Nothobranchius furzeri: one gene and its partners. The protein of the gene in region 2 interacts with the protein of the main gene of each other region in a biochemical or structural test. Links are inferred from orthologs where the notes say so. Each region holds a gene or a part of one and is shown on either strand. Other genes may lie near its edges.

Region 1 (4,739 bases), on a different chromosome or scaffold from region 2:
ATTCCAGTCCAAATTTTTCCAAAAGACTTTTCTGTGTGGAACTTGAGAAGCTTGTGGCCTCTCAAGAGAAGTGATGAGATGCTACTTCCTGTCCTTGACTCATCTAAAAGGATTGACCTTAAGAAACTGGGTGTGTCGTAAATGTAAAAATTTAAAAAGAAAGAAAAATGAAAAAGATCTACGACCTTAGTGGGAAATAAAAACATACAAAAACAAGTAAGTGACATAGGGTGTAAAAAAGGGAGTCTAAGCAAAAGCAAACACCACATCTATGGTAACATACCTTGGCCTCCTCCAAACGCCCAAGAGCTTTGAGCAAATTACCCAAGTCACTCCGCACACAATAGAGATCCTGGAACAAAAGAAAAAATCATTTACCTTCTACTTATTATCCCACAGAACTACTCTGTCAACAATCATTTACCGGGTTGTACTGTAAAGCAGACACATAAGCCTGTACTGCTCCCTCCATGTCCCCCGCGGCCACCAGTGCTGCTGCCAGGTTTATGTATCCATCAATAAAGTCTGGCTTCAGCCTCAGAGCGTGGCGGTAATGCTCGATGGCCTCCTGCAACTGACCGCGCTCCTTGTACACATTCCCCAGATTGGAGTAGGCCTCAGCAAGCATTGGGTTCTGCTTGATGGCCAAGGTGCTGAAGTGAGCGGACCTGCAGGGCAGAAACAGGAGCAAACCGTAAAAACCCAGGAGCCCAGAGGCAACAGTTACTATCATTTACTGCTAGAGGCGACAGAAACGTGTAGAAAGGTTGAAGGAAGAGAATAAGTGCAATATTATTACATTTATAACAAAACATCAAACTTAAAACTTCCAATTTATAGTTTAACCCTCCGTTTGGGAATTAAGGATGAAGCAACACTTAAACCACAGCACCCGAAGAACAAAGCCATGTTGGACTTTGGGGGGGGGGACCTCATTAAACTAAATTTCCCACAGAGTTCAGATGTTTAACTTGATCTCCCAGCTCAGATGAGTGCGACCTCAAACCCAGAAGCCCAATACAGTTCTGCCATCTCCACACCACATTCTGCTTAAAGCCTTTCCCATTACACCTCACCTGTCAAGTCTTCGACACTGGAAGTGAATGGAAGACAGAAGCAAAAGCACGCCTGTGTTATCAGGCTCCTGCCTCCACAGCTGCATGCAGTGACGCTCAGCTGCCTCAAAATCCCCTGACTGGTACTCGCGGTGCGCCAGCTCCGCCAACCCTTGGAAGGAAAGCATACGTTTTGTTGGTTCTGGAGCACCAACATGAGCCAAGGAGGGGGGGGAAAACGACATGTTAGAGGTGATGGAATAAATGAAAGACAAATGAAAAACAAACAGATGGCAAAGCTTTCAATAAAGAACAATTTTAACTCAACAGAAAATGGAGCAACAAACAAAATCAAAGGGTCACAAAATCAAAGGTGATATAATAGAAAATGTTTGGAAACCATCATTTTTAAAACATTGTTGTATTCGATAACATTATAATTCAAATCTTAAGAGTGATTTGTGAGTTGAATAGCTGTAATGAACTGCTCCTTTATGAAACTTTGTCTTTTATTTTAAAATTACTGTCGGCAAAATAAAACGTAATGCTGACTGAATCAATTTAGTGTTGAATTAATCAAATAATTTCATTTTAATCTGTTTTATTGTGCTTAGAGATTATTAAGCACAAAAATAACAATCCAATATTAATGCAAATATATTTTATCACTCACAGAACAAAAAAGAAAATTGATAAGATGAATAAACAAGCGGGTAAGGGAATGACACAGAGGGAGATGTTCTAGAATCCTGTTGGCATTCTGGAGTCCAGGCATTACAAAGGATCTTCATCACATATGCATTACCATTATTAACCATATTTGCTTAGAGGAAATAGGGAGTGGCAGAGAACATGTGGAGGAAAATCACATGATTACATTTTAAAAAGACAGAGATCATTTTTGGAAAAGTTCCTCCACCCAAACAAACTTAGATCAATGCCTTTAGAGTCCAGAAATCAAACGAAAGATTGTTGTAACTCAGGTTTCTAAGGAAAGGTGTGGCCAAATGTATTTACAAAGACATTTCAACACTGCTCATCTGATCTGGCCAAGCCAGACTTTTAACATGTTTTTTTAAATTACATCTGAATATGTCTCTAATTTAAATGATGCTGGTCAAAAACAATCATGTTAGAACTTGCCAGTAGCAGTCAGCTGATAAAACTTTACATGAAACCAACTAACACACGTATTTAATAACTATTTAGTTTTGCTTCAAAGACCATACTTTTTGTTCTCACAGTTCTTGCCCTGGAGATTATTTCCTGTGGCAAAGGTGGTTTAATAAAGAAATACTTTTTTTCAGTTGTCCAAACGCATATCTAATTTACACTGCAATCAGATCTTACAATTCCACATCACCTAAATAAAAACCCCATGGAGACCAATATACATAAAAAGTTAATTGTATTATAGCCAGAATACCAGCAGCAGAAATCGTCATGGTTTAGTTTCCTTCCCTTCACAGTTATGTAACCACGCTCCTAAACGTGAGAAAAGGACTGATTTATTTCATACAACGTCCCACTCATTATTACTCAGCTGGAATGCAGTTTTGGGAGGAAACCTCAGCTTTCTCTGCGGCATCGGTGCGGTCTGCACGGACTGGGTCAGCAGGACTCTCCGCCATGCCGGATCGGTTTCTTTAAAAAATAACTTGACGCTAATATAAAACACAGTACCCCAACCTCATCGCAGTATCCTATTTACACGCTATCAAAATAAAATAAATGTACACGTAATCCGTGTAATATGCAGTTTAGCACCACGTTAAGGGGCAATGACACGCGCAGACCCGGCGCATTTGGTTTAATTGTGCGACACTTTCCTATACAAACAGCTGTTACTTAGTGTAGGCCTAAAGCCTTCGTATAACATGTGTAACCATGTTCATTTTTAATTATGATCATTTTTACAGTTAATAATCGCTTCCTCGCGTTAGCAGGAAATGCTATTTTACAAGCTAGCTCCATTAGTTAGCAATATAAGCAGCCTACCTGTGCTGTCGGCCACATTTCCAACTGAGCTCGCCATCTCCTCGGTCTTCGTGTCTTGTGCGGTGGTCGTCAACGTGTCTTCTGAAAAATAACAGCCCCAGGAAAAAAACGGTTCTGTCTCGTATTCTCGGTGCTTGAAAGTTAGCCCGCTGCCCGTCGAGTTAGCAATGCTAGCTTACTTAGCTTTCTAAAAATCCGATTAAAACACCTTCGCAGTGTTTTTTGTTTATTAGAAGATTAACTAACCGGTCAAATCACGCTGTTGCTATAACTAAATATCACAGAAATTCTATTGTTCACTGTAAGAGTCTACCTGGCTGTCTTCCTGCTCCCAACAAAGCAGCGGAACATGAAATGGCGAAATGAGGGGAACTCGTTTTTCATGAGAGAGAAACTAGGTCCCTCTGGCAGTTTTTTGATTAAATATGCGTACAGTTTTAATATGCGTATTTCATTACGAAATAGTGCGGAAACCCCAAAATTTCAACTATGTGCCATACATTTAGCAATACAAATGTGGGTATCAATACTATCTAGCGGAGGGATCTCACTGCGCAGTGAGACAAAGGACGAATGCTGTGAGCTGAGCCGGTGCACGACTAGAACATGGCGTTCAGGCTGCTAATTTATTTTTCACTGTTTGCTTAATGAAACCGGGATCCACGCGGTGTTCATCATCACATCTCAGCAGAGCAGAAGACATCTCATGCTAATGTGTTAACCCTTTTTCATTGGATCAACACATTTTCCACACCAAAGAAGTCATTCAAGTAGAACTCAATTGTTTTTGGGTAACCAAACAGAAATCACCTTTTCCTAACAATTCGAAACTCCATACATCAGTAAGAAGTCCATGAAGCACCCATTTGACACTCGTTTACACAAATTAAATGAAATCACATTAGCTATCATCCGGCAGGCCTGTAGGTGCCAACATGGATGGAGAAAGTCTATAGGAGGATCTTTGTTGGCAAGAAAACACACAATATGGCCTGCTGTGACAGCAGTGCTGTCAATACACGACGTACACTTCCATTAGAGCTTGTGGGCAAAATCTTCAATATGTAAACATTTTTAACGTCTAAAGACAGGAGGAGGTTTAGAGAGAAGCAATTGTTTTAAGTGTTTAAAGCTCTTGCTTGAAAGACCATTAAAAGATCTGACCACTTTTTGATCTCAGTTCTTGCCCAGGAGATTCTTTTCTGTGGCAAAGGTGGTTTAAAGAAACCTGTAAACTCTGTATGTCTTGGATGGGAGCTCTTTGTCCACTAATGTTCACACTCTGAATCATTCCAAAAAAGGCCATTTTTCTCCTTTACCGCTATCAGATTTTACGTCATTGCTTCCAGTGAACAAAATATTCATGAAACATGCAAGACAAAACACTCTAAATACAACGAACAGACACACGAAAACAGCAGCAAGCTCAAAAAACGGTCTAGAATCAGCTGTGGTTGACCCCATTTACCCAACACAAATCAGCGGTGTCCATTATTTGCATTGTTTAATTATCAAAGCAGCTTATATTTGAGCTGATATTATTGCAGATGTATAGATGATTCTACTCTTCAGGAGATTGCCAGACACCCCCTACCCAGTCATGGACTCCTTTTGCTTCCTTGGGACCATCATCACCCATGAACTCAAGTGGGAGATGTCCATCAGCCCAGCTCCCTCATCTGGAAA
Region 2 (4,471 bases):
TGAAACAGTTTAGTGATGAAGTCTTTGTACAGAAACTGTCTGATTTTAATGCATTTCAAACTCTTCAGATGCTTTTGTTTGTTCTGATGCTAAAAAATAAAAAAAGCATAACAAGTGTAAATTCCCTGCAAGACTTAACATTTTTTATTGTTTACAGAGCACGGATAACTGTTTTCATGTTTCCCCATTCGTGGATTCTGCAGACATTACCAGCCTATGATGGAACAATCAATCTCGATGCTTTGGGTGGGAAGCAGCGGATGACAATGAAGCTCTTATTTTTAGCAGATTCTGCAAATTAGGACAAACTGTAGTCCATTTTTATATTTGTGACATGGCTGTTTAATTTCCTGGGAATTTTTTACTGTAGAAATGGTGAATTGTATTTTTTAACATTGTATTAGAATGAAAATCTCAAAGTGTTTTGCAACATACCTGTGAGGTTGGCCAACATGTTCTACTACCTTATCTGGAGCTGTTAAGAAAACCAATGCTTCTGCTTGTCAGTGCGCCCCAGGGCAGCTGTGGCTACATCGTAGCTCATCACCATCAGTGTGTGAATGGATGAATGATACACTGTAGTGTAAAGTGCTTTGGAGTCCTTACTCTGAGAGGTGCTATACAAGTGCGGGTCATTTATCATTTCTTGCACCCGCCTCCTTGTGTTTTTACATCTAATCTAGGGCTCAGGTAGAATTAAGCAGCTTGTAGATCATTACTGAGACAAATTACAGTTAAAGCTCTAAAATGATTAAGTAATTTAGATTATTTCAACTCAAAAAGTCTGGTAGATCTTTCATGTTTCAGATTAGATGTGAGAATTAGAGTCATGACACACCACATCAGGCTGAATGAGATCCACTGCAATTGTTTTATTTAATCACACTACCCAGAACATTTAATATGATCAATTAACTTTATAAAGAACTATTGAGAAAATATTTATCTTAATAAAACCAAAACAGAAAGTGAAATGAGTAAATCCAAACAAAAGAGCATAATGTTTATGCAGAGTTAAACTCATCAACAGATCAGTCAAAGGTTAAACGAAAGCTCTTCTCCTGCTCCTTGCGTTGGGTGTCGCAGAGTTTAGACACTTCTTCCACTCTTCTCTGCAGGAGAACCGAGTTCTGGTCGATCCACTGCAGCGAATCCATGTGGGCGTTGAGAATTTTACAAATCTGCTGGAGCTAAAACAGAGAGAAAGAGATGAATGAAAAAGGCAAACATCATAATGACAGGTTTAAGGATGACTTAGATCTGATCTTACTGGGTCACTGGAGTCAGCTGGGCCGCTGGATGTGTTCAGGTGCTCAATTATCTCCTTCAGGTCCTGAGACATCCTCTTCAGCTGTGCGTCTACGTTCTCAGCGAGCTTGTATGTTCTCTCACGCTCCTCATCGGCATTCTGCATGTAGATGGTTCCGCTCTGCTCCTTCACGGACTCCTCCAGCGGACACAGCAGGTCCTCCAGCTCCTTCTGCTGGGACAGGATGAAGTCCAGCTCCTGGTTCAGCCTCCTCTGGTCCAGCTTCACCTTCTCCAGCTCCTTGTGCAGGGATGTGATCTTCTCTCCGTTCTCCACCAGCATGCGGTCCCAGGCATTCACCTGAGTCGCTTGCTGTAAGAAATGTCTTTCTTGGTCCTCCAGCTCAAGACTCCACTTGTTTATGAGGCTCTCCAGCTGGGCATAGGTCATCACAGGAGGAGCAGTGGTGGTGGTGGTGCCGATTGTTGTGGCTGTTGTGGTTGTGCTTGTGGTGGATGTAGTTTTGAGTCCCAGTATGAAGCCCGTAGCTGTGCCTGTGGTGGCGGCTGCAGTTAGGATGGAGGCCGGAGCAGAGGTGGTGGTTGCTGAACTCAGAGGTTTGAGTGGGAAGGATAAGCCCCCTCCAGCTGCTGTGGTGGTTGCAGTGCTCACCGATGAAAGTGGAGCCGAAATTGGAGCTGCACCAAACATGAATCCTGGAGCTGCTGCTGTAGTGGCGGCGGTGGTGGTTATGGGTGTCGCAAACAGAGTAGGGCCTGGAGTCGGAGCCACCTGGGTGGTTGCTGTAGGGGCTGGGGTTGATGAAGGTTTAATCCCAAAGTTAAAACCTCCACCCTGGGTGGTTGGAGCTGCAGAGGCGGTGGTTGCAGGGGTTCCAAAGCTGAATCCCGCTCCTGTGGCAGCAGTGGGGGCTGCAGCTGAGGTCACCTGGACTTTGGGAGCACCAAAACTGAACCCTCCAATGGACATGCCACTTGCTGCTGTCGTGGCTGTGGGTGCTACCACTGACTGAGGCTGGACTTGTGTGGGAGCACCGAAGGTGAATCCTCCCCCGCTTGGTGCCACTGTTGCTACTGCTGGTGCAGCAGCTGGGGGCTGCGAGGTTAGCAGGCTGCCTAAGGTGAACCCTGACCCGGCAGCCGGAGTTGCTGCAGAGCCCAGACTCAACCCTGTTGCTGCCGGTGTTGTCTGAGGGGTAGCAAGAGCAAACGAGGCAGTAGGCGTGCTAAAAGACAACCCCGTGCCGCCTGCGGAACTCTTGGCTGGGGTGCCAAAGCTGAAAGAGGCGGTGGGGTTGGTCTGGTTGGCATTTCCAAAGGCGAACCCCCCTCCCGGAGCTGCTGAGCTGGTTAATGTAAAACCCGCGTTGGGGGCAGCGGCAGTGGTCTTCTGCGCTCCAAAGGCGAACCCTGCATTCTGTCCGAAGTTGAATCCGCCACTCATTATCCTCACAAGAAGTTAAACACAGCCGTTACGTGTCGTTTAAAACGGCCACTTCCTTGCCGAATCTTGTGGCTTTTGGCGGGTCGCTATGACCAACTCCTCCGACTGAAGTTCCTAAAATCCCCACTGCGTCTATTTAAGTAACTTTGCACAGATACGCAGGAAATGAATGAAATCACACGCTAATCAACGTTACCTTCCGAGGAATATAGAGCCAAAATCAATAACACATTGCTAAAAACGTGGGCCTGTGAACCGACATTTCCTTTAACAGGCAATTATCTGGCCACCTAAAGGAAGTGACGACACCCGAGACGCGGCATTCTCGTATGCCCTGAATTTTGTCTGCAGGGACATAATTCCGCCTATTAATTTATTTGGCAACTGTTTTATCCAATCAGAGTTATGATTAGATTTGAGGTACATGATAGGCTCATTTGACTGCCTGATAGACAAACATTCGGAAAAATATATAGTTTGGCCTTTACAAAGAGTATGCAAAGGCAAGATAGTTACAGAATAACGAGCACTATCAACTCTTCTTCTTTCATACACACGTGAATAAAAGACATTATTTAGGACATTATCGTGCATTTATACGTCTTTATTTTCGCAATTTACCGTCAATATTGACAATAATTTTAAATACAGCCTTTCAACAGAACTTCGTGTCGGTATACGCCAGGCAACAACGATGAATCCTCTTGAACTTTGTAGTAACTCTTTGAATTAGCTTGTTGACTTTTCTGCTTCGGTGGATTTAGCAGCGATCACTTGAAGTACACACCGGACGATACACAAACATTGCAGCGCGGCCGTAGTTATGGATGCTGAACCTGCATCAATTAGCAACGTAACTGAACAATAATAAATTTAACAGCGTGTTTGCGAGCTGCTGGGTTTGCTCAACGAGCTAGTGTCGTTAAATAACACTAAGTGTGGCTCGGAAGCCACCTGCTTCCTCCGAATAACTAGTAAACCCGGTCAACATGAGGCTTCTGAGGTTTCTGAGGAACAGCGTGTCAGTAGGGAAGGATATCGATTATTACTCCAGATTTTCTCCTTCCCCTCTTTCAATGAAGCAGTTTCTGGATTTTGGTGAGATGTATTCATATAACACTCTAGGGATGTAAAAATAATTCAATGCACTGAAATATCACAACATTTCGGTTTATGATACAGAATCGATATTTAAAAGCAGAGTATCTATTATTGAGAATTTACATGCCAACATTTCTTGTATTTCTTTTGTGTGGTGCAGATCAAACACTGACAGCTAGGTGGCAGCAGTTTCTTCCTCCTTCAGTCTGACAGACCGATATCTTGCGAAAACACTGGAATTGTCTGAGTTTTCCCAGTTAAATTCACTTAAAAATTGCAAAAATAGTCAGCCTTTTAGTATCTCAATATATCGTATCGTCTCTCCTGTATAGCAACATATTATATTGCTAGATACTTGCCAATTAACACCCAGTTTTATCTCAAACTCTTCGGTGTTTCTTGATGTCTTGGTCCTGCCCCGGTTGCCTAGGAGATACGTAATCAGGTACCGCCAAGGCGTGTTCCAATCATCATGTGCTACCGAGGTGTCTGTTCTTCGTTTGTTAGCTGTTTAGCTAGCTAAGCAAGAATACACGGGAGGTGCCTTCTTTACTGGTGGTTCCCAGAATATCTAAAATTAGGATAGGAGGCAGATCTTTTAGTTATCAGGCTCCTCTCCTGTGGAACCAGCTCCCAGCTTTAGTCCGTGAGGCAGAC
Region 3 (4,640 bases), on a different chromosome or scaffold from region 2:
TATGATAAATATGACTTAGCTATCTCATAATTATGAGATACTAAGTCATAATAATGATAAATGACCCGCACTTGTATAGCGCTTCTCAGAGTAAGGACTTCAAAGCGCTTTACACTACAGTGTATCATTCATCCATTCAGACGCACATTCATACACTGGTGGTGATGAGCTACGATGTAGCCACAGCTGCCCTGGGGCGCACTGACAGAGGCGAGGCTGCCGAGCACAGGCGCCACCGGACCCTCCGACCACCACCAGCAGGCAACGTGGGTTATGTGTCTTGCCCAAGGACACAACAGCAGAATTCTCTGTCCGGAGCCGGGATCAAACCGGCAACCTTCCGATTACTGGACAACCAGTAATGACAGTTAACTCGTAATTATGAGATACTAAGTCATCATAATGAGATAGTATCTCATAATAATGAGATAGTATTGCAAGATAGTATCTCATTATTATGAGATAGCTAAGTCATGATTACGAGATAATAATTTTTTTTCTGAGTGGCGGGTATGGGCTTCCATACAATCTGCAGCTTCATCCTCAGCTAAATTTTCCTGTGACAGCAGATGTTTCAGTGACACTTCCATCTAAAGACACAATCGTCCTCTAGATCAAAGTGGAGTCAATATCACTGTCGTCTGAAGCTAATGATGTCTGAGCTTCAATTCATCCCAAACATTCCTGTGAAGCCAACAGAACTCAAATGTCATCATCAGAAGTAAGGAAATATCATCGTCAGTATTGCCTGAAGCGGGTGATGTTTCCGCTCTATCCTCACCGAATCCATCCAGTGAAAATAACGAATTTGTTTGTTAGTTCCAACTTTCTTTTAAGCGCAATAAATCCTGGGGCTCACTCTCAGCACAAAGCAGCAACTCCAGAACATTGTATTCCTCTCCAAACAAATCTAACAAATCATCACCCTTCTCTGAAGCTAGCACCCCAGCATCATCAGAAACAAAAGTCCCATGTGATGTCAGAAACATGTTGACACTTCCATCTAAAGAAAAACAGGTGAAAGTTGTGTCCTCTTGATCAAACAGATGTATACCACCTTGGTTGTCATCAGAAACTAGTGATGGGCAAAATGGGAGGGGCGCAGACGTGCTCGTGCAGAACGCAGTGGTAGGAAGGTGATTTTGGGGTTGATGACGTCAAAGTGAAGCAACTGTGTAACTCAATCTTCTGTTCCACCAAATATCAGAATGGAAATTAATAAAAAACATTAGAAAAACATAAAAACACTAATAGAAAAAATAACAAAAATGTGGCGGTTTTTTTCATAAACATCAACTATGCATGTCTGTGATAAAGACTACATTCTCCATAATGCTTTGCGCACACGTCTCTGGTTACGTGCTGTCGCAGCGAAGGAGACATTGCACTGTTCTGTCGTGCAGCCGGCCTCGGCGTTAGTGAGAGGTAAGTTTGTGGTACTTGTTTGAAACGAGTCTTGCTACAAATTAGTGAAACAAAGCTTAAGTGAAAACAAAAGTCAGTCGTTTCGTCAGACACATAAACAACTAACGACAGGATCGACAGTTTTACTGGCAGCTCCTCTCAGTTTAGGAAGGCTAGTGTCGGGCACGCCTATGTGAGGGGTTAGCTGCTCCGGGGGCTCCAGGGCTGTTTGCGCGGGCCCGCATGAGGCGTCGGTATTCACAGGGGTTGGGTATTTTTAGCATGATCCTGCTGCGAACACCAGCCGGTCACTCAACACCTGGAAAATACATGTTCCCGAAGTCTAGCATTGGCTGGAAGCTACAAGGTTTGGGCCACCAACAAGTCAGCTCACAAGCTAGCAGCGGCGAGCAGATCTTGTACCGACACCGGCTGAAAGAGGTTTACTGTCTTATTTGCCTCATTTCCACGTTCCTACTCTTGTGTTAACCTTAGTTTCCTCTGCACTGGTATACTCATGTCCCGTCGGTAACCGCAATAGTTAGTAATGCTAACGTTTAGCGCGCCCGCTCACTGCTCCAGTGTCAACCATGTCGTTATGGGAGTCACGTGACCTGTTATGTCGGCGGAAACCGGGAGTAGTATTTATTTATAAAATCTCAGTATTATAATATGATTCAGGAACTATTTCACTTACGTGGAGTTGAAAGGGTCAACGTATTTTTTATTATTTATTAATGTTATCACGTTTTAAAAGTGTGTTTTTAGTTTACCACTATAGTGATAAAAACAACTAGTAATAGTAATAATACGAAATGTTAACACGAATTTCAAAACATAACAGGTGTTAATCATATACATTATAATTACTGTAAAAACAAGCAGAGTTCATCATATGTGGGCAGACACATAAGCTGATCTTATACTAAAAATCCCTTATGATCCTTTTACACTGAAGAATATTAACATACATACATTCTGTGGGTTTAAGTTTCAGGCATACAGTTCTGTTGCCGTGTCCTGGTGCGTTCTGTGTGTTGACCCTCTCTGTTTTATCTCTGCAGCGTGTGTTCGAGGGTGATTCAGGATGGCGGAGCAGCCTCTGTGGGAGCAGATAGGATCCAGCTTCGTGCGGCATTACTATCAGATGTTTGATTCTGACAGATCACAGCTTGGATCCATATATGTAGGTGGAACGTGACTTCTTCTCGGCTTCCTCTGATGACCTTTTTCTAGAAGCCTAATTTTGTTCCTGTTTGTTGTAGCTTTTTTTATTTTTAGTGATCTTAGCATTTTTGGAAATGTTCAGGAAAACAAATCTTTTTCTATTCGGGTCTAATAAGTAATATGATATTTACTGACAATATTTCGATGAAATTTGTAAATCTAATTAAATACTGATTGTAGTGTTAGTTTTTCTCCATCATGAGAAATGTGAAGTGGCTTCATGTGTAGATTATTTTCTGCCATTTAATTCTTTTTTTTTTTAATTTAATTATTTATTTATTTGTTTTTTACATCTGTCACTTCACAGATTGATACGTCATGCCTTACGTGGGAAGGACAGCCCTACCAGGGAAAAATAGCAATTGTCGAGAAACTCACTGTGAGTATTGCTGGTTGCTATGCAGAGGTGAAGTGTGGTTAATGTGTGATAGAAACTGTGTTCTGGTGAAGAACATCAGGACATTAAGGATTTTGTTTGGAGCTTGTTAGGATATAATAAAAATACATTATGATGTTTAAATAACAGGTGTTTGAAATCTTGAAGGGAATGACAATGAGCTGAGTCATTTCAGTGCAATAAAAACTGGGCGATATGGCCTCAAATCTATATTGCGATATAATCTGAAGCATGTGCGGTATCGTTATATATTGCGATATATTTTTTTCCTCTGTTTATATATGTCAAAATGACATGCTTTTAAATATCCTCATGTGGCAAATATACCGTAATTTCCAGACTATAGAGCGCACCTCAATAGAAGCCGCACCAACAACAAAAAAGGTTTTCTACACACACATGCTGCACTCAAATACAAGCCGCGGCGCAGCAGCCACATGCAGGTCTCCGGCGCACAGCGCATGTACGGCCATAACATAAGATAGTTAGACAGAAAGACGCTACACGGAGGTTTTTCGTTGTTGTTTTAATTCAACAAAACAAATTTTAAACACGGGTGAACGTGCCTGCAAGTTTATAAAATAAAAACAGCACTGACACATTATTACCGGTAATTTGCATGTTTAGAAGGAAAGAACAGCTGACAGCATTAATAAGCCCCGGATGATTAGAAAATAAAAACTGCACACAAAACATGCCTGGTTAGTAAATAAAACACACTTGAATACCAGAAAAAGTCATTCTCTCATCTTCCTCTTGCGCACTAAAGCCATTAAAGTCCTCTTCTTCAGTGTCGGAGTTGAACAGCCTCAGAAGAGCTTCGTCACATACCTTTTCTGTGGTGATGTCAGTGTCGCTGTCATCATCCCCGGGTGAAGCTGGCTTGGATGAGTTCTTCCCGCTGCCGTCTCCAGCGCCGAACCACGGATTCATTCATGCCAAGCTTACGTGCGGCAGCGCTGTTTCCCTCCTTTACTGCCAGATCGATGGCCTTCAATTTAAATGTGGCAACATATGAACTCATACGTGTAGTTACCATGATGAGGGGGTATGGATTTGAAAATAATTCTCCGTCGTGCCAGCTGCTTGCATGTGCTAAATTAAAAGGAGCACTTTCTTCTATTTCCACTTTTGACTTCCACCTGTTTCACTTTCTGCTAAAGCGCCCCCTGCAGGTGAAGGAAAATCTTCAGTAAAGCCGCACCTCATTATAAGCTGCATGGTTCAAAGTGTGGAGAAAAAGTAGTGGCTTATAGTCCGGAAAATACGGTATGCCACTTGAGGCATATAGGCCTCCTCCCCCGCCCACTCCATGCTTGCAATCACTGCCATTCTGTTGTCTCAATGTCAGCAGGGTGCAAATCTTATTGACGTCATGAGTTATCGCGGTATTTCGATATGTAGGGATGGGTACCTTTGACATTTGAATTGATTCCAGGGCTTCCCTTACATAGGCTTAGCCGTGGCGGCCCGCCACGGCTGAAATCCCACCGCCACGCCTACAAGATCCCAAGTGTTTGTTTTTTTTTGGCGCTGTTTCCCGAAGAAGCAGCAGGAACTACTATGTTGTGGCTTGTGATCACAGCCGGCAGGCAGCAAGGAGGAGCAGGCA

What was found. The genes of interacting proteins can lie anywhere in the genome.
Region 1: of the proteins of nup62l (region 2) and ogt.1, one has a biochemical effect on the other in vitro, tested with the Homo sapiens proteins (2 studies listed by BioGRID). The link is inferred for Nothobranchius furzeri from reciprocal best matches to the Homo sapiens genes NUP62 and OGT.
Region 3: the proteins of nup62l (region 2) and nutf2 form a complex in vitro, tested with the Homo sapiens proteins (3 studies listed by BioGRID). The link is inferred for Nothobranchius furzeri from reciprocal best matches to the Homo sapiens genes NUP62 and NUTF2.

The regions. Positions count from the first base shown.
Region 1 is NC_091741.1:100,471,980-100,476,718, reverse strand, and holds the start of ogt.1 (UDP-N-acetylglucosamine--peptide N-acetylglucosaminyltransferase 110 kDa subunit), read right to left. Parts: upstream 3,307-4,739; 5' UTR 3,091-3,306; coding exon 3,054-3,090; intron 1,258-3,053; coding exon 1,077-1,257; intron 669-1,076; coding exon 425-668; intron 353-424; coding exon 284-352; intron 1-283. UniProt on the Homo sapiens protein: Catalyzes the transfer of a single N-acetylglucosamine from UDP-GlcNAc to a serine or threonine residue in cytoplasmic and nuclear proteins resulting in their modification with a beta-linked N-acetylglucosamine (O-GlcNAc).
Region 2 is NC_091754.1:20,876,298-20,880,768, forward strand, and holds nup62l (nucleoporin 62 like), read right to left. Parts: upstream 2,905-4,471; 5' UTR 2,714-2,904; coding exon 1,271-2,713; intron 1,191-1,270; coding exon 1,032-1,190; 3' UTR 853-1,031; downstream 1-852. Other genes in the region: pdk1 (pyruvate dehydrogenase (acetyl-transferring) kinase isozyme 1, mitochondrial), read left to right, coding at 3,703-3,811. UniProt on the Homo sapiens protein: Essential component of the nuclear pore complex. The N-terminal is probably involved in nucleocytoplasmic transport.
Region 3 is NC_091744.1:83,049,301-83,053,940, forward strand, and holds the start of nutf2 (nuclear transport factor 2), read left to right. Parts: upstream 1-1,334; 5' UTR 1,335-1,425; intron 1,426-1,719; exon of another isoform or gene 1,720-1,845; intron 1,846-2,468; 5' UTR 2,469-2,491; coding exon 2,492-2,590; intron 2,591-2,938; coding exon 2,939-3,010; intron 3,011-4,640. UniProt on the Homo sapiens protein: Mediates the import of GDP-bound RAN from the cytoplasm into the nucleus which is essential for the function of RAN in cargo receptor-mediated nucleocytoplasmic transport.